Linked DNA regions of Sus scrofa. The protein of the gene in region 1 interacts with the protein of each later gene in a pairwise test. Links are inferred from orthologs where the notes say so. Each region holds a gene or a part of one and is shown on either strand. Other genes may lie near its edges. The genes, in order: SPRY1, CREB5, OTX1 and GEMIN4.

The links.
Region 2: the proteins of SPRY1 (region 1) and CREB5 interact in binary tests that used the Homo sapiens proteins (3 or more experiments, as listed by UniProt). The two-hybrid records come from large-scale screens. The link is inferred for Sus scrofa from reciprocal best matches to the Homo sapiens genes SPRY1 and CREB5.
Region 3: the proteins of SPRY1 (region 1) and OTX1 interact in binary tests that used the Homo sapiens proteins (3 or more experiments, as listed by UniProt). The two-hybrid records come from large-scale screens. The link is inferred for Sus scrofa from reciprocal best matches to the Homo sapiens genes SPRY1 and OTX1.
Region 4: the proteins of SPRY1 (region 1) and GEMIN4 interact in binary tests that used the Homo sapiens proteins (3 or more experiments, as listed by UniProt). The link is inferred for Sus scrofa from reciprocal best matches to the Homo sapiens genes SPRY1 and GEMIN4.

Annotation. Positions count from the first base shown.
Region 1 is NC_010450.4:100,857,585-100,860,821, forward strand, and holds part of SPRY1 (protein sprouty homolog 1), read right to left. Parts: exon of another isoform or gene 3,174-3,237; intron 2,333-3,173; exon of another isoform or gene 2,146-2,332; intron 1,348-2,145; 5' UTR 1,293-1,347; coding exon 333-1,292; 3' UTR 1-332. UniProt on the Homo sapiens protein: Inhibits fibroblast growth factor (FGF)-induced retinal lens fiber differentiation, probably by inhibiting FGF-mediated phosphorylation of ERK1/2. Inhibits TGFB-induced epithelial-to-mesenchymal transition in lens epithelial cells.
Region 2 is NC_010460.4:43,844,926-43,848,493, reverse strand, and holds part of CREB5 (cyclic AMP-responsive element-binding protein 5), read left to right. Parts: intron 1-476; coding exon 477-585; intron 586-1,493; coding exon 1,494-1,657; 3' UTR 1,658-3,568. UniProt on the Homo sapiens protein: Binds to the cAMP response element and activates transcription.
Region 3 is NC_010445.4:78,900,221-78,904,469, forward strand, and holds the start of OTX1 (homeobox protein OTX1), read right to left. Parts: upstream 2,826-4,249; 5' UTR 2,751-2,825; intron 2,396-2,750; 5' UTR 2,327-2,395; intron 756-2,326; 5' UTR 647-755; coding exon 550-646; intron 1-549. UniProt on the Homo sapiens protein: Probably plays a role in the development of the brain and the sense organs. Can bind to the BCD target sequence (BTS): 5'-TCTAATCCC-3'.
Region 4 is NC_010454.4:47,114,740-47,117,228, forward strand, and holds the end of GEMIN4 (gem-associated protein 4), read left to right. Parts: coding exon 1-325; 3' UTR 326-1,960; downstream 1,961-2,489. UniProt on the Homo sapiens protein: The SMN complex catalyzes the assembly of small nuclear ribonucleoproteins (snRNPs), the building blocks of the spliceosome, and thereby plays an important role in the splicing of cellular pre-mRNAs.

The DNA.
Region 1 (3,237 bases):
GTGTGTGTGTGTGTGTTCACATGCACAACTTTGGAAAGTTGCTTGAAGAACAAAAAGGCTACACAGAAGCCCACTGGCTTTCAATACCCTCTCAAGTGGATGGCAGAGGCTCTTGTCATAAGGCGGAGCCAGGTGCAGTTTCACAGTTCACTCTTACTGAAGATCATCCATTAGAGAATAAAATCCATGAGTCAAACCTTGGGAAGAGGGGTAGAGAAGGTGGAAAACAGGGAAGAATGGTAAAGAAAACAAAACCAGTATCTAATAGGATCTTTTTAAACAGCCACAGCTTGAAATTGAGCAGTTCAGGAGGTTCAACCCACCTCCAGGAATCATGATGGTTTACCCTGACCCCGGGAGGGGCAGCTCTCCAGCTTACAATAGACAGTGTTGGAGTTCTTACATCGGCACCCTGGGCGATGGATCCAGTCATAACACCCCCTGCACAGCTTCAGGCATCCCTTAGCAGGAGGATAACAGAGTAAGCAAGGTAAAAACAGAGACATGGCTCCCATACACAGGTACCTAGAGCAGCAGTGTGACTGTGAACAGGAGCAAGGATTATCCGAGTAAGAATCCCCTTCATCGTCATTGGAGCAGTGGTAGAAGATGCCCTTGACTAAGCACATGCAGGTGCCATATTCCACCATGCTCTCAGCAGAGCAAAGGCACTGATGGTTACAGGCCAAACAGGATGGCAGGGTCCTGGGAGCTGTGCATTCTCCACACTTGCACTTCCCACACTGTTCGCAAATGAACTTGTGCTGTGTCAGGTCCTCTTTCAAGGTACCCTTTAAGTCATCCACAATCAGCTGCTTGGGCTGGGTCCGGATTGCCCTTTCAGACCTATGACCAGGAACTGGTCTGGTTGGTGGTGACCTCCCTAATAGCCCCTGCTCGGAAGAGGCACTGCTGTTGCTCCCAGAACTGGCTGCACTTCCGGTGCTGGTTGATCTGCTCAATATGGGGCCTCTGGCATTATTTGAGAGTCCTGCATGGCCCAGGTGGCTGGTAGGTCTATGCTCGTAGTTATTATTCACATTAATTGGTATGATTTCGTGAGTCCTTTCATGCTTTTCTTGTCTTGGTGCTGTCCGAGGAGCAGGTCTTTTCACCACTGACGGCCCTTCTGTGTATTCATTGCTGCCTCTGATGGCCTTGATTTGGTCTAAGGACAAAATAGCAGCAGGCTGAATCTCCCTCTCATAGTCTAGCCTCTGACGGCTATCCAAAGCAGGCTGCTGGATCACAACTAATGAACTGCCACTGCCATGTTGATTTTGGGGATCCATGTGTAGTGCTCTTCAATTCTGCCAATCAGTGGAAACCTGGCATGCATCTGAAATCCTAAAAGGAAATCAAGGATGGAAAAAAAAAAGAGAGAGAGAGAAAAATAAATGACAAGAAGCATTTGGGGGAAGTGGGGGAGGCGAGAAATCCCATCAAGTCACAAATTGCCTAAACCACCTGGTAATGATCTCCCTCATCAGCGGATTACAATGATGCTGGGGTCCTGGCCAGAGTCCAATTCCAAGAGAGACTAAGGACCACATCATAGAAGAAGAATGTAAGCAAGAGACCCCACGCCATAAGAATTAGGAGTTTTTTTCAACTTTTAAAAAGCAGAATCAAGAAGTAATATCTTCCTGTTTGTGAATCTAACAAACAATTAAAGTGGAGTACGCCCTTGTGGGGAATACTGAGTATAAGCACTAATAAACAGCTCTCATCTAAAGAAAGCTCAGTAACAGTTCATGGGTGTTTTCCAAAAAGGAAAACATCCACCTTAAAAAAAATTAAGAACGGTTTTGGTGCCATTGCCTTTTGTTATTTGATGTGAACAAGCATTAGATTAATGGTGAAAAATTAGTCAAGGTATACTCCATGCACTAAAAAAAAAATTCAAGAGATTCTAAACTAAAATGAAATCTCGAAATAAAAGGTCATTTACAGCAGAAACCAAAATTTTAAAACTAGCTAATTAATCTACAAATTGCAAAAATGAACATAGACAAATACAGTTCTTGGTGTTTTACAGCCTCTAAACACACAGAAAACTCAATATACAGTTCGGTGAGTGTTAAGAGTATTCACAATTGAAATCATGAAAAGATTTTTTGTAAGTTTAAATAAGGGCTCACTCACCTAACGAGATAACTTTCATGCACAAATAAGTGTTAGGCCTTTAAAGTAGTATTGGGAAATCCTGGCCATTTTAATTATCTGTATTTCCTCTAATTTAAAAATCTGTATTTATGTGCCAGATCTTGATTTTCAAAAGCACTGCCAACTCCGAATCAATGTGCTTCTTGTAATAAAGTACAGTGATATCCTGATGAAAATAAGCATTTGCGTTTCTATACCAAGAGTAAATTATTTCTCACTTATAATGTATTCTCCATAAAACAAACTATCGAACTTAAAAACATTTCTGTTTTCAAGGTTGTAAATTAGATTATTTTCATACAAATTCCTCCCAAAGTCTACAGATCTGATCCAATTCAAGAAAGAAAAGAAAAAAAAAATCCATTCTCCACTTCTACCTTGAGCCAAACACATCAGCTTAAGGAATAAATCGGAAAGAAGACCATTTCATCTATCAACTTCACTGAGTGTCGCTGGACTAAGTCTTACACGTTAACTTCTTGCAGTTCCCCTCCCTCATTCTCCCAAAGCAGATCTTCACGTTTCCACTTTCTTATACCTTCTCTGAACTTAAGGAGAAACACATTCACAACCTGCTGGGTTTAGTCCTGGATTTCTTAAGGGCTGTTCAAAATACTCCATGGTTATTCTGCACAATATCATTCTGCCTCGCAAAAAACTTTTTAACCCACTATTTTTAAAACAAAAATAATCTAAAAGTACTAAGTCAGACTCCAAGCGAAAAAAAAAACACACAAAAAAACCCACATAAAAACCCGTGGATCTGAAGGTAGAAAAAAACACCAGGCACAACCGAATCTGAGTTTTAAATGCTAGTTGTAACGAAGATCATCCTGGGCGGTAAAGGAGACTACCAGATAAAAGGAGAAAGCAAAGAGAAAGAGCCACCTCTGATCTGAAGTAAAGCCCCTTTTCAAGCAGTGACAGTCCTCCATCTAGTTCCAAACACGGTCACAGGTTCTCGATCGCCTGTTTGCCCCAAGAAACCCCAAATCCAAGTCGAATACCTTTTCGGCCAATCCCATCACATCCTAAGGATCACCGCGGATTTCCAAAACCTTTTGGCGTATC
Region 2 (3,568 bases), on another chromosome or scaffold:
ACGAGAGCCAAGTTTACTGAGAGCTTAGTGTGTGCTGGGCATTGTTCTGTGTGTTTTACGTCTCTTCCCTCATTTAATCCTCCCAGCAACTCCAAGAACACAGTACTCTTTGCATCCCTGTCTGAAAAACAAGGTTGCTGGAGCTCGGCCGGGTTATGTCACCTGCCCAGCATCCCCAGTCAGTGTAGAAGGCAGGGTCCCACCCAAGTAGCCTGGTCCCGAGTTCACCGTCTCAACTCGGGACTTTTAATAGGATTCAGCTCTTGAGTTAAACCTAGTCTCTTCAGAAAGCCTCTGGTAAGTGGGAGGGCCAAAGTGATGGCAAGCTACACATTTTCAGGTAAGTCCTGTTAAATAATATTATTAATGTCATCCAGACGTGACAGAAGTGTGCCCGTTGTATTATTAAAGTGCACAGGGCCTTGGGCTTGTGTTCTCTGGTCTTCTTCACATGGCTTTGATCTGTCTCTTTCCAGAACGAAGTGTCCATGTTGAAAAATGAAGTGGCACAGCTGAAACAGTTGTTGTTAACGCATAAAGACTGCCCCATAACAGCCATGCAGAAAGAATCACAAGGATATCTAAGTAAGTCATTGACTTTTTGCTTTTTTCGTGTCTTGGTTTTTGCCGCTAATTTCACATTGGCTTGTATTAAAAGAACAAACATAGAGTGCACACCCAGGCAGAAATCCTGCTAGAATTCTGGAGTGGCTGCTGGACTGCTGCCCAGGGGGAATCCTTCTTTTCTGACCCCTGTTCCTCACCATTTCCACCACCTTCTGATAATTTCTAGCCAGACCTTCCCTCACCTTTCAGACTGTAAAATTCTACCAAATTCCAATTCCGCAGTCAGTAGGAGCCCAATTCCAGTGGGCTAAGCAGCCTTCCAGAGAGATCTATGGGCTGGGAAACAGGCTGTGGGTGAATCATATCCAGTGTCTCAGATGTGCAGTATGGTATTCAGTGGGCCACAAAGCTAGTGACCAGGTCTCAGTTTACCAATATGCAAAGATGGGTCCCTTTTCCTGGTCCCTTTTCCTAGATCCCAGTCTCTGCACCTGGAAGGCCAATAGGCGCCACGCTAATTGAGTGGGGACGGGAGGAGGAGCAGGGATTCGTGGCTGAAGGTCAGTGTCTCTTCAAATAGTTTTTTAGATGGAACAACACAGATTCTCCCACCACATCTGAGTATTCTTCCACATTTGTTAGACGGAGGGCGACTCGAAAAGACCAGATGGGGCGTTCATGCGCCAAGACTCAAGCCCATCAAATCATGTTGCTGATCTAGAAAGCATGGCTTTGCTTGTGGCTATAGACTGGGAAGGCCTAGCTTTGTGACAGTAGTTTAAAAGATGGTTTGGAAATTAACCTCAGGGAGAATATGTGTGAAACCCTCCTATTTCCAGTAAACACCTAGCGCTGTCTTTGGAGTCACCCCCAACCCCCCCCCCAGAAGGAGCTATATTGGGGTGTGTGTGTGTGTTTTTCCCTAGGTCCAGAGAGTAGCCCTCCCGCCAGCCCTGTCCCCACGTGCTCTCAGCAGCAAGTCATCCAGCATAATACTATCACCACGTCCTCGGCCGTCAGCGAGGTGGTAGGAAGCTCCACCCTCAGTCAGCTCACCACTCACAGAACAGACCTGAATCCGATTCTCTAAAACCCGAGGGTCAGACCTTGCCTCCAAGAAGAGCTGTCGTGTTTCCTGCGTCCTTTCTTTTAAGGGCATTTTTAGAATTCACTCAGACCTGGACGACTCCTCAGCCCTTCGAAGACTGGCTTTCATTTTTATAGTTATTATTGGAAATGTTGTCTTTTATACTTAGTTATATAAGGAAAAAAAAAAGGGAGTTATGCAATTAATAATCTATCCGCTTGGGAAATGCTTCGGTGCTTTTCTCCAATTTTCTGGTACCGGTTTCTTGTTTATAAACTGAACTCTTTCTGTATATAGTCATTGTTTCATTCTTATCAGTCCAACCCTTTGCCTAAGAAATGGTGAATCTTGTTAAACCGCAGCTTTTAGCCAAAATGAGGCTTACCTAGATGTCCAGTAAACAGATTGCAAGGCAACTGGGGGAGAGGTCCGATGACATCATAACTCATGTTGAGTTGGCTGTGATGTCACCAGAATCCCCCACAACTCTTTTCTTTTATCATAAAAAAGTGTAAGATCCATCGACATCCACATAAAACCACCAAGCATCTTACCACCTCTCCTCCTCCTCTTGGTCCACTTCCTAGAATGCCCAAATTCCCTTTTGTACTTTTACCTCTGGGCTCCCTGTTGACTCTTCATTTTTACTTTCTTCTGTTGTAGTCCCCCCCCCCACCTTTAGCATTGCATGTAAAGAAGAAAATAATATTTAAAGGAAAAAAAAAAAAAGCTAATGTGGACCTAGCCGTGGCTTCCCTTGCCTGTGACCTACAGCTGGATTTCATTCAACTCTTGCTTTTTACAAACTAGTAACCGGGAGATGTTTAATGTGCCTGATTTAATGTTTTTAATAATCAGAGCAAATAAAAGTTGGCTTAGCCATAGGTGAAGCACTGTTGAATGCCAGCTGTGGAGACACTGGGGAAGGGAACTTTGTAAGCGTCAATTGTGAAAAGTCCAAATTATAATGCCAAGCTATAACGTCACACCCTCGAATTACAACTGGTTTTATATGGCGTGTCTATAATGTTGAAAATCCATGTACTATATAATAATTCAGAAGGGCTCTGTGCACTACACAGATTACATTGTTCAATCATCAGCTGCTAATAGCCTAAGATTATTTTTTTTCCTTAAGCCTATGGAACCAGCTTGGCTGTCCTAGTGGCTGAAAGTAGATGAACTTCTGGAAGAACAAAGAGAGAAAGAAATCTAATTTCCATGGAGGTGCTTTCTGCCCTCACACAACAGTTAAAGTGCTCTTCAGCTGCTGACAGAATCCCGTGGACATGGCTACTCCACTTTTCTGAATAATTCTGATTTCTATTTTCAGCAATTTGCGTGGACTTTGCCCATTAGAAAGAGCAGGTAGTCCTGAACCACAGTTGTGCCTCCTTGAAACAAGCCATTCTACTTATGCTAAGGTTTTAATAGTGCATCTCACAAATCGCTGGGGCTAATGATTTTCTCTAGCAGTGTAGGCAGGTACTGCTGTTTCATCTCCATTTGAATGCTTGACCTTGGGACGTGAGTGTGACTGTGCTTGCGTGTGCGCGTGCATGTGTGTGTGTGTGTGTGTGTGTGTAAGAGAAAGGGAGATTATGGAATTTAAAAGAATAGTATTTTACAAAAGGTGTAGCTTTTATAAGAGTTCAGAAAAGGGAAGGATTTTTTTTCTCTCACTATAGTGTAAGAATCTATTTTGGAGAAAAAAAAGAAAATATAAGAGTCATGAAGCATGGTTTTTATAACTAGTTTCAGTTGTATCTAATAATTTACTTTTTAAATCAGTATTTGTCAGCGATCTTTTCATGTATGCAGTGCTTTCAAAAGAAAGTTTTGAGTTTCCAGTGAAACTCCTAACTTGAATATAGGGTCTAAAAAAATCAAAACAAAAGCAAAAGCATAAAAAAA
Region 3 (4,249 bases), on another chromosome or scaffold:
AGGGGTATGCAGAAACGCATCCTGGAAAACATTTTCAGAGGGAATAAATGGGAGTGAAGGAATGAGAGCTAGAAAAGAAAGCCAGGATTTGGCTTAAGTCGTCCAGCAGTGCAGAAGTTGGTGCAAGCCACCACTCTAGAGGACAATTTAATTGGGGGGTAAATCTCCCTTCCTCAGCTCAGCCAGTCGTTTTGCATAAGGCAAGTCCTGGCCCTTCCTGTTAGGGCCTAGCTAAGTGTCCAGATTCCTCATTCAATGTTGGGGGAAAAGCATAGTTTCACACACACATAGAGACACACCAAAAACAAACAAAAAAAGCCACCCATGGGAAACAAATCCTGGGTTGGCAGTGAGGCCACAACAAGAGACAGGGGGCCGGTGTGACCCCTGCTTCTCACGTTTGGCTGCCCTGGCCCTCCTCACCGACTGCTGTGCCCTGCATTGCATGAGAAGACTAGGCAACCGGCTCCCTGGACCTGCTTTGGGACAAGCCTGTGCTCAAACTCCAGAAGCCGGGGGTCCCCAAGATTTGCAGGGACTGGTGCTCACCGGGATAGCCCACAGAGGGGTGCAGGAGGTCCATGGCTGGACCAGCCAGTCCCAGCCCATTCATTCCGTATGGGGGTTGTTTGAGGTAAGACATCATGCTAACAGCTGGGTGGAGGCGCCCCGACGGATCCAGGGGGCCTGGGCCAGGCGCAGTGCGGGCCTCCCACTGCGAAGTCCTTCAAGCTCTGTTGCGTCTGGGGCCAGGCCTATGAAGACAGGATATATGCAGAAACCATCATTCTGAGCCATCACAGCTTCCTAGTCTTGTCGGAGGCAAGGAGTCACAGGATGGGGAAGGGGGAGTAGATTATGGAACTATGCAGGGCGGTCAACTCGGCTCCATTGAGGCCCAAAGGCCAAGGCTTCTTAGAAAAGTAAACTTTCCTGGATCGTCATTTCCTCTTTTGGGGCTTGGAATAGGGCGACTCTAGGAATGAGGAAAGGTTAAAATCAGGGCCAAATTTGGGAGGTCAGAGCCTGAACTACAGAATGCACTAGGTCCCAAGTCTAGGCAAAATTCTTGGTCGGGTCGGAGCCGGCCTCACTCTGAACAAGCAAACATTATTCGCAGCGCCCACGCGATAGTCGGCCCAGAACAGGAGCGGTTGTTTCAGTTTGTTACAAATGTTTTTAAAGTGGGACGAACAGGTAGACACGAGAGAGCCTAGGTGAGGCACTGCGGAGGGCTGGCAGCGCCTGGGCCTCTCTGGGACCCACTGCCTACTTAGGAGAGAACGTTCCTTTCAAGGTCTCCGGAGCTGGTTCCCCGGCTCCAGACCCCACAGTCTCAATTGACCTCTCTGCTCCCAGCCGCCCAAAGATTGCTTACCCCGAATCCTACCCACATCTCAACCACAGTTACTGGCCCAGGTTCTGGAAAAGCGAACAGAAAGGGCCCCTGTAGAGGTGGCGGTTCTAAGACGTGGGCTGAGGTCAGGGGCGCCTCGCCACATCCGCAATCCTTCTTCGCCAGCGCAAGGTGGTCCTTCTTTATGATCTTTCCTGGCTGCGGACAATCGGGTCCCGGCGGGGGTGAAAAGTGACCGGGCCAGCTCCCTCAAGGGTCGGCGGCTTTGGGAGGCCTAAGCGCAGCAGCTCCGGTGCACTGCCTGCCTATCCTACTAGCTGAACTCTTGGCCCCGGGACCCTATCGAGACTAGAGAACTAAGGCCCCGGCAGCGTGGCTTGCGCTGACCCGGGCTGGAGGGTCGAAGCTTGGTTTCTCTGGTTATCCCCAAACTGAGGCGCTACAATCAGGGGTCAGGAAGTGGCTCTGGGGGAGTGGGGATGAGGCCCAAGAGGACCTGTCGCGTCATCCCGCTTCACGGAAACTCAAAGCAGGCCTGGGACCCGGGCTAGGGAGTTTCGGGAAGGAAGAGCTAAAGAAGACGCCCGGTCCTATCCCCATCAGACCCACGGCCTAGGCCGGGGAACCCAGTTTGCAGGGAAGGCGACAGAAGGGAAAAAGCGGGGGCTCTACGGCCAGAGGAGAATGTAACTCAGCCGCCGCGACTCTGCTAGGCTACAGCGTGAGTTTTCAAAGACTTTCTTCAAACTTAGCACTTCAGCTCTTTACTTCGGAGGAGGCGGGGGAGGGGCGCGGGGCCTCAGCAGAGCTCTGGGGTCCTCCGCTCACCAAGAGGGGAGCCAGGCCGCTCCCCAGCCCCGCCCACGTGCCGGGGACCTAGGAAGCGGGGACCCATTTGGAAAGGGGGAGGCAAGAGCAACCGACGCGTTCATTCCCAGAGTCCCGGGCGGCCCGCGGCTTTCTTCTTACCTGCCCTCAGCTGCCGGGGCGGCTCACCATCTACCTCGAGCCCTCACACTGACCCTCTGCGCAGCCAACCTGCAAAACAGAGCCGCACAGGAATTACCCGCCGGGCTGGGCGGTAGGTCTAGGCCCCCCGGATTTCTTTCTTCCAACTTCCCTCCTCCCCTTCTCTTTCTTTCCAGTGGCTTTGTGCGTGTCCCTCCAGGTTTCACTTTATTGCACGGACACTTTGTTTGCAAAGCCCTACACGCTCCCGAGACTACCTCGCCCGAGACCGCGCCAAGGGGCCGCAAGGAGGAGGGTGGGGTAAGAGGGGCAGAGTTGGGAGGTGGCTCTCGGCTGCGGTTCCACTCTGTGCAGCGTGGAGGCGGTGGGGGCTGGGGAAGTCCTGCAGAGGCACTTTGCAAACTAAATAAATCAAGCGATTTACCTTGTCGGAGTGGCTTGTCTCGCTGGGTTGTTTAGGTGATTGGAAATGTAGCCTGATGAAGATTGATCACCTTTCTACTGCCCTCCCCGGGTATGTGAACGCGAGGTGAGTGCGTAACGGGGCGAGGCTGCCAATCCCGGGCCCCGCGCGGGCTGAGTGACAGGGAACCGGGCAATGGCAGCACGAGCCGGGGGTTACCTCCGCGCGCCCCCGCCCTCCCCCGCCCCCTGCACCCCGCCCTCACCGCCCGCCCGCCCCGCCCCGGTCGCGCGCTAACTCAGGGGCTTGGCTGGCAAACGCGGCGCGGAGCAAGGCGAGGAAAGCCAGCGCAGCGCGGGAGCCCAGGCCGCGGAGGGGGATGCTAGTCCCAAGGCCGCCCCGGGGACCCCCGCCCTTCTCTCGCCCTTTCGGCGCCCTAGAGGGAGTGGCTGAAAGGAGGCGAGGTGCTGGAAAACCGGTTCCCTCGCTCTCCGGCGCGCCACCCGGCTCGGCGGCCCGTGGACCCCGGAGCCCCTCTCCCCGCGCTTTGGGTCCCAGCGTCTTCATCCACCGCGCCACCACCTGCAGACGGACGCCGCGGGCGGCTCGTGCCGGCACAGGCTACTTTGCCGAGCGCGGGAGCAGCTCCTAGTGCGCAGATCCCGCCTCGGCGCCTCAGGACTCCGGCGTTCCGGAACAGCACCCGTAGGGGAGGCACCGCCGCTTACCTGCTCTTCGGCGTCTCCTGGGGTTTCCAGTCTCCGTGAAGAGTGTTTGCAAATTCGAAACGCTTCTTCTGAAATGTTGGAGCCCAGAGTCCCCTCCCCCTTGCACACACACTTAACTTCTGAATCGAAAGATTTGGATAGGAAACTTTCTCTTTCACATTGTCTCCTTTTAGGTCTCCTTCTTCTAGGGACAATCTGGTGGAAAACGCAGCCACAGACCCCCGCCCTCAATTTCTTTTCCTCATTCCGCAAGAGCCTCCTTGAGGCGATCTCCCCGGATTGTTCGTACTGGCGAAGCCCATTTCCCAGTCGAACAAACTTCTCAAACACCTCTACCTGGGTGGACTTTTCAAAGAGCAAAAAAAGTGTTTTCGCTCTAACACTGAACAAGGCAATTCTTTTAAATGGCACCTCCTCCTGAATATTAGGCACGACTTTTCTCCCTTTCGAGGAATTCCTACCGCATCTTCCTAATCCCCCCGCCTCCCTTCCAGCCCAACAGGCGGAGTGAAAAGTTTGAACTGAAATAAGTGTGAGGGCGAGTCAAGGAGCCGCCGGGCGCTTCGCGGTGGGGAGTGCCGGCACTGTTGGGCCTCGGGGTCGGGCACCGAGAGCAGACCCGGCGCGGGGCGAGGAGGTGGAAAAGGAAGGGGGAGCCCGCTGAGTGAAAGGGGGCCGCGGCCGCCGTTCATCAAAGTGCTTCCCCCTCCCCCAAGCGACACTTTCCTTTGGAGTCCGAATAAAATACGGTAACAGAATATGATGGAGGGCACACTGTTTCCTTAACTGCTT
Region 4 (2,489 bases), on another chromosome or scaffold:
GGACTCAGTGAGGCTGATCCAGTCCGTTGGCCCTTGGGCCCAAGGACAAGAGCAGGACCTGAGCCAGGAAGCCCTCTTTTTTTACACGCAGGTGTTCTGCCATGTCCTGCACATCATGGCCATGCTCCACCAAGAGCTGTGCGAACCACTCTACGTTCTGGCCTTGGAGATCCTCACCTGCTACGAGACCCTGAGCAAGACCAACCCTTCCGTTAGCTCCTTGCTCCAGAAAGTCAACGAGCAGCGCTTCTTAAAGTCCATTGCCGAGAACATCACCCCTGAGGAGCGGCGCCAAACCCTGCTGCAGAAGATCAGCAGCTTCTGACCTCGGGGATCAGAAAATAGCTGGGCCTCACCCTGGCGGGGTCTGCAGGCCCTGAGCTGAGAAACGCAAACTTTCCAGGTACGTGACATTGTACAGAAGCCCAAAAATGTGACAGTAGCAGTGCAAAGAAAATAGTTTCTTAGGTATTTGTAACATACAAATTATAATAAAATGCTCTCTGGAGTTTCATCTTGCCTCTTCTTCCCCCCCCCACCGCCTTCCCCCACCCCGCCCTTTTAGGGCCACACCTGCTGTGGGACTACGCCACAGCCACAGCCACGCCAGATCCAAGTCACATTTGCAACCAACACCACAGCTTGCGGCAGCGCCCGGTTCTTTAACCCACGGAGCGAAGCCAGGGATCAAACCCGCATCGTCAGGGATGCCGTGTCGGGTTCCTACCCACTGAGCTGCAAAGGGAACGCCCATCTTTCCTCTTTTGAGCCTTTCTTATCAGTGGTCTGGGCTCGGCAACACACTCTGAACTCGGGCTCAGCCCGTCTTAAAGATCAGGTCAGGCCGGGAGGAACAGCATCGTAACTGGCCTCCACCCGAGAGTTTGGCAGGTAAGTCTAAAGGGGGAACCACCCAAGTGGCCCCATCACAAGGGCGGTGTTGTGTACTGGGACTCGTTGTAAGAGTCGTTTGAGGGCTCTTGGAAGGGGCAGCAACTACGGAAAGGACCCTCCTCTGCCCCCAGGCGGCCCTGTGATTGGTGTGTCTCCAGGGCCTGCAGCCTCTGTGAAAGGAGAGGGTTGGACCAAGAACATGAGATGTTGGGGGGCAGATCAATGACCTTCAGAAGATGCCCCACAGAGTTGACCGCCCCCCCCGTCATTCAGTGGATCCCCAAGGGCCTGTGCTGAAACTGCCTGGTAAACACAGCTGAGGCGTGTGTAGGGGACGGGTGTAATTATCTTCTGCCTCGGATGGGTTGTCACAGTTTAAAGAATGAGCAGGAGCAGGGATGGTGTGCAAAGATGCGTGAAAATGAGAATTTCACGTGCCCAGCATCTGTGACAGAGCTATGAGGACTGGCCGGCAAGGTGTCTACCTGGGAGGCCAGGAAGGACAGGAGGAGCCCCGTCCCGGTCAGATCCACGCCCCGGTCAGAGCGAGGGCCTGTGCACGTTTCCTCCCCCCCTGCAGTGGGCTGGCTCCACGGCCTCCCATTGGCTGTGCGCCCTCCGGACAGACTCCTAGTTGGGATTCACCTGGGAAGAGAAGGGCCTAAAGGTCCATGATTCCACTGGGCCTGAACTCTGGAACGCTGCCTCGTCTTCCCAGAACCAGAATTACAGGATCATGTTCAAGAGAGGTGTGAGTCAGGCCCTCCTGGAGGCTGGAAAGCGCTCACACATCCCCCGCCCCGGCAGCCGGCCCCCCTGCCGCTTAGATGAGAACTCAGGCCAGAAACGAGCAGACGGCAGCCATTCACGTTGGGTCACAGGATGGATCTTAGAGTTGGTATGGCTGTATTTCACAAACGAGAATGAGTTGGAAAATATTAGTGCAATTTAATCACCACAGGAGTGATTTATCAGGATACACTGATGGTAAACAAAACAGTAAAAAAAATTACAGCATTTTATGATTTTTAAATGGCACCCATTAAAGACTGAAATAGTCAAAATCGAAGACACTGTTACACATTCAGTACTTTAAAAGTTCACGAACAACAATGGATTAAGTAAAAGGCACTTTTAAAAACCTAGTTTTTTAACTACCTCTTGGGGAAAAACTTCATGGTAGCGGGTTCTAAACCCCATCCTTGTTAAGGGACATTTAGTGTTGGCACCAGAGTATCCTCTTTGCAAATGGCAGGTGAAGAAGTCCGTCCAAGGACAGGTTTCGGCCAGGGCTGTCTTGCGCTCTTGCCCTCCAGCCTCCTGGGGCCACGCGGTGGTAACTCAGATAGGAGCAGGCTTTGGACCACAGGCTCTGGCTTATCGGGAGGCAGTCTAGCTAAGATATCTCAGGGTTTGGGGTACAGAAGTCCTTTCTGCTTCATATGAGAAGGACAATGTCAAAGAGGGGGGTTACGCAGCAAATAGTGCAGTAGCTGTCACTTGCTGTTACCCTGGAGTTTTCACAAGAGCATCCTGCGTGTGTCGATCCGGTGAGAAGGCTTGAGGGACACACCAGAAAGGGAACGGTATCTGTG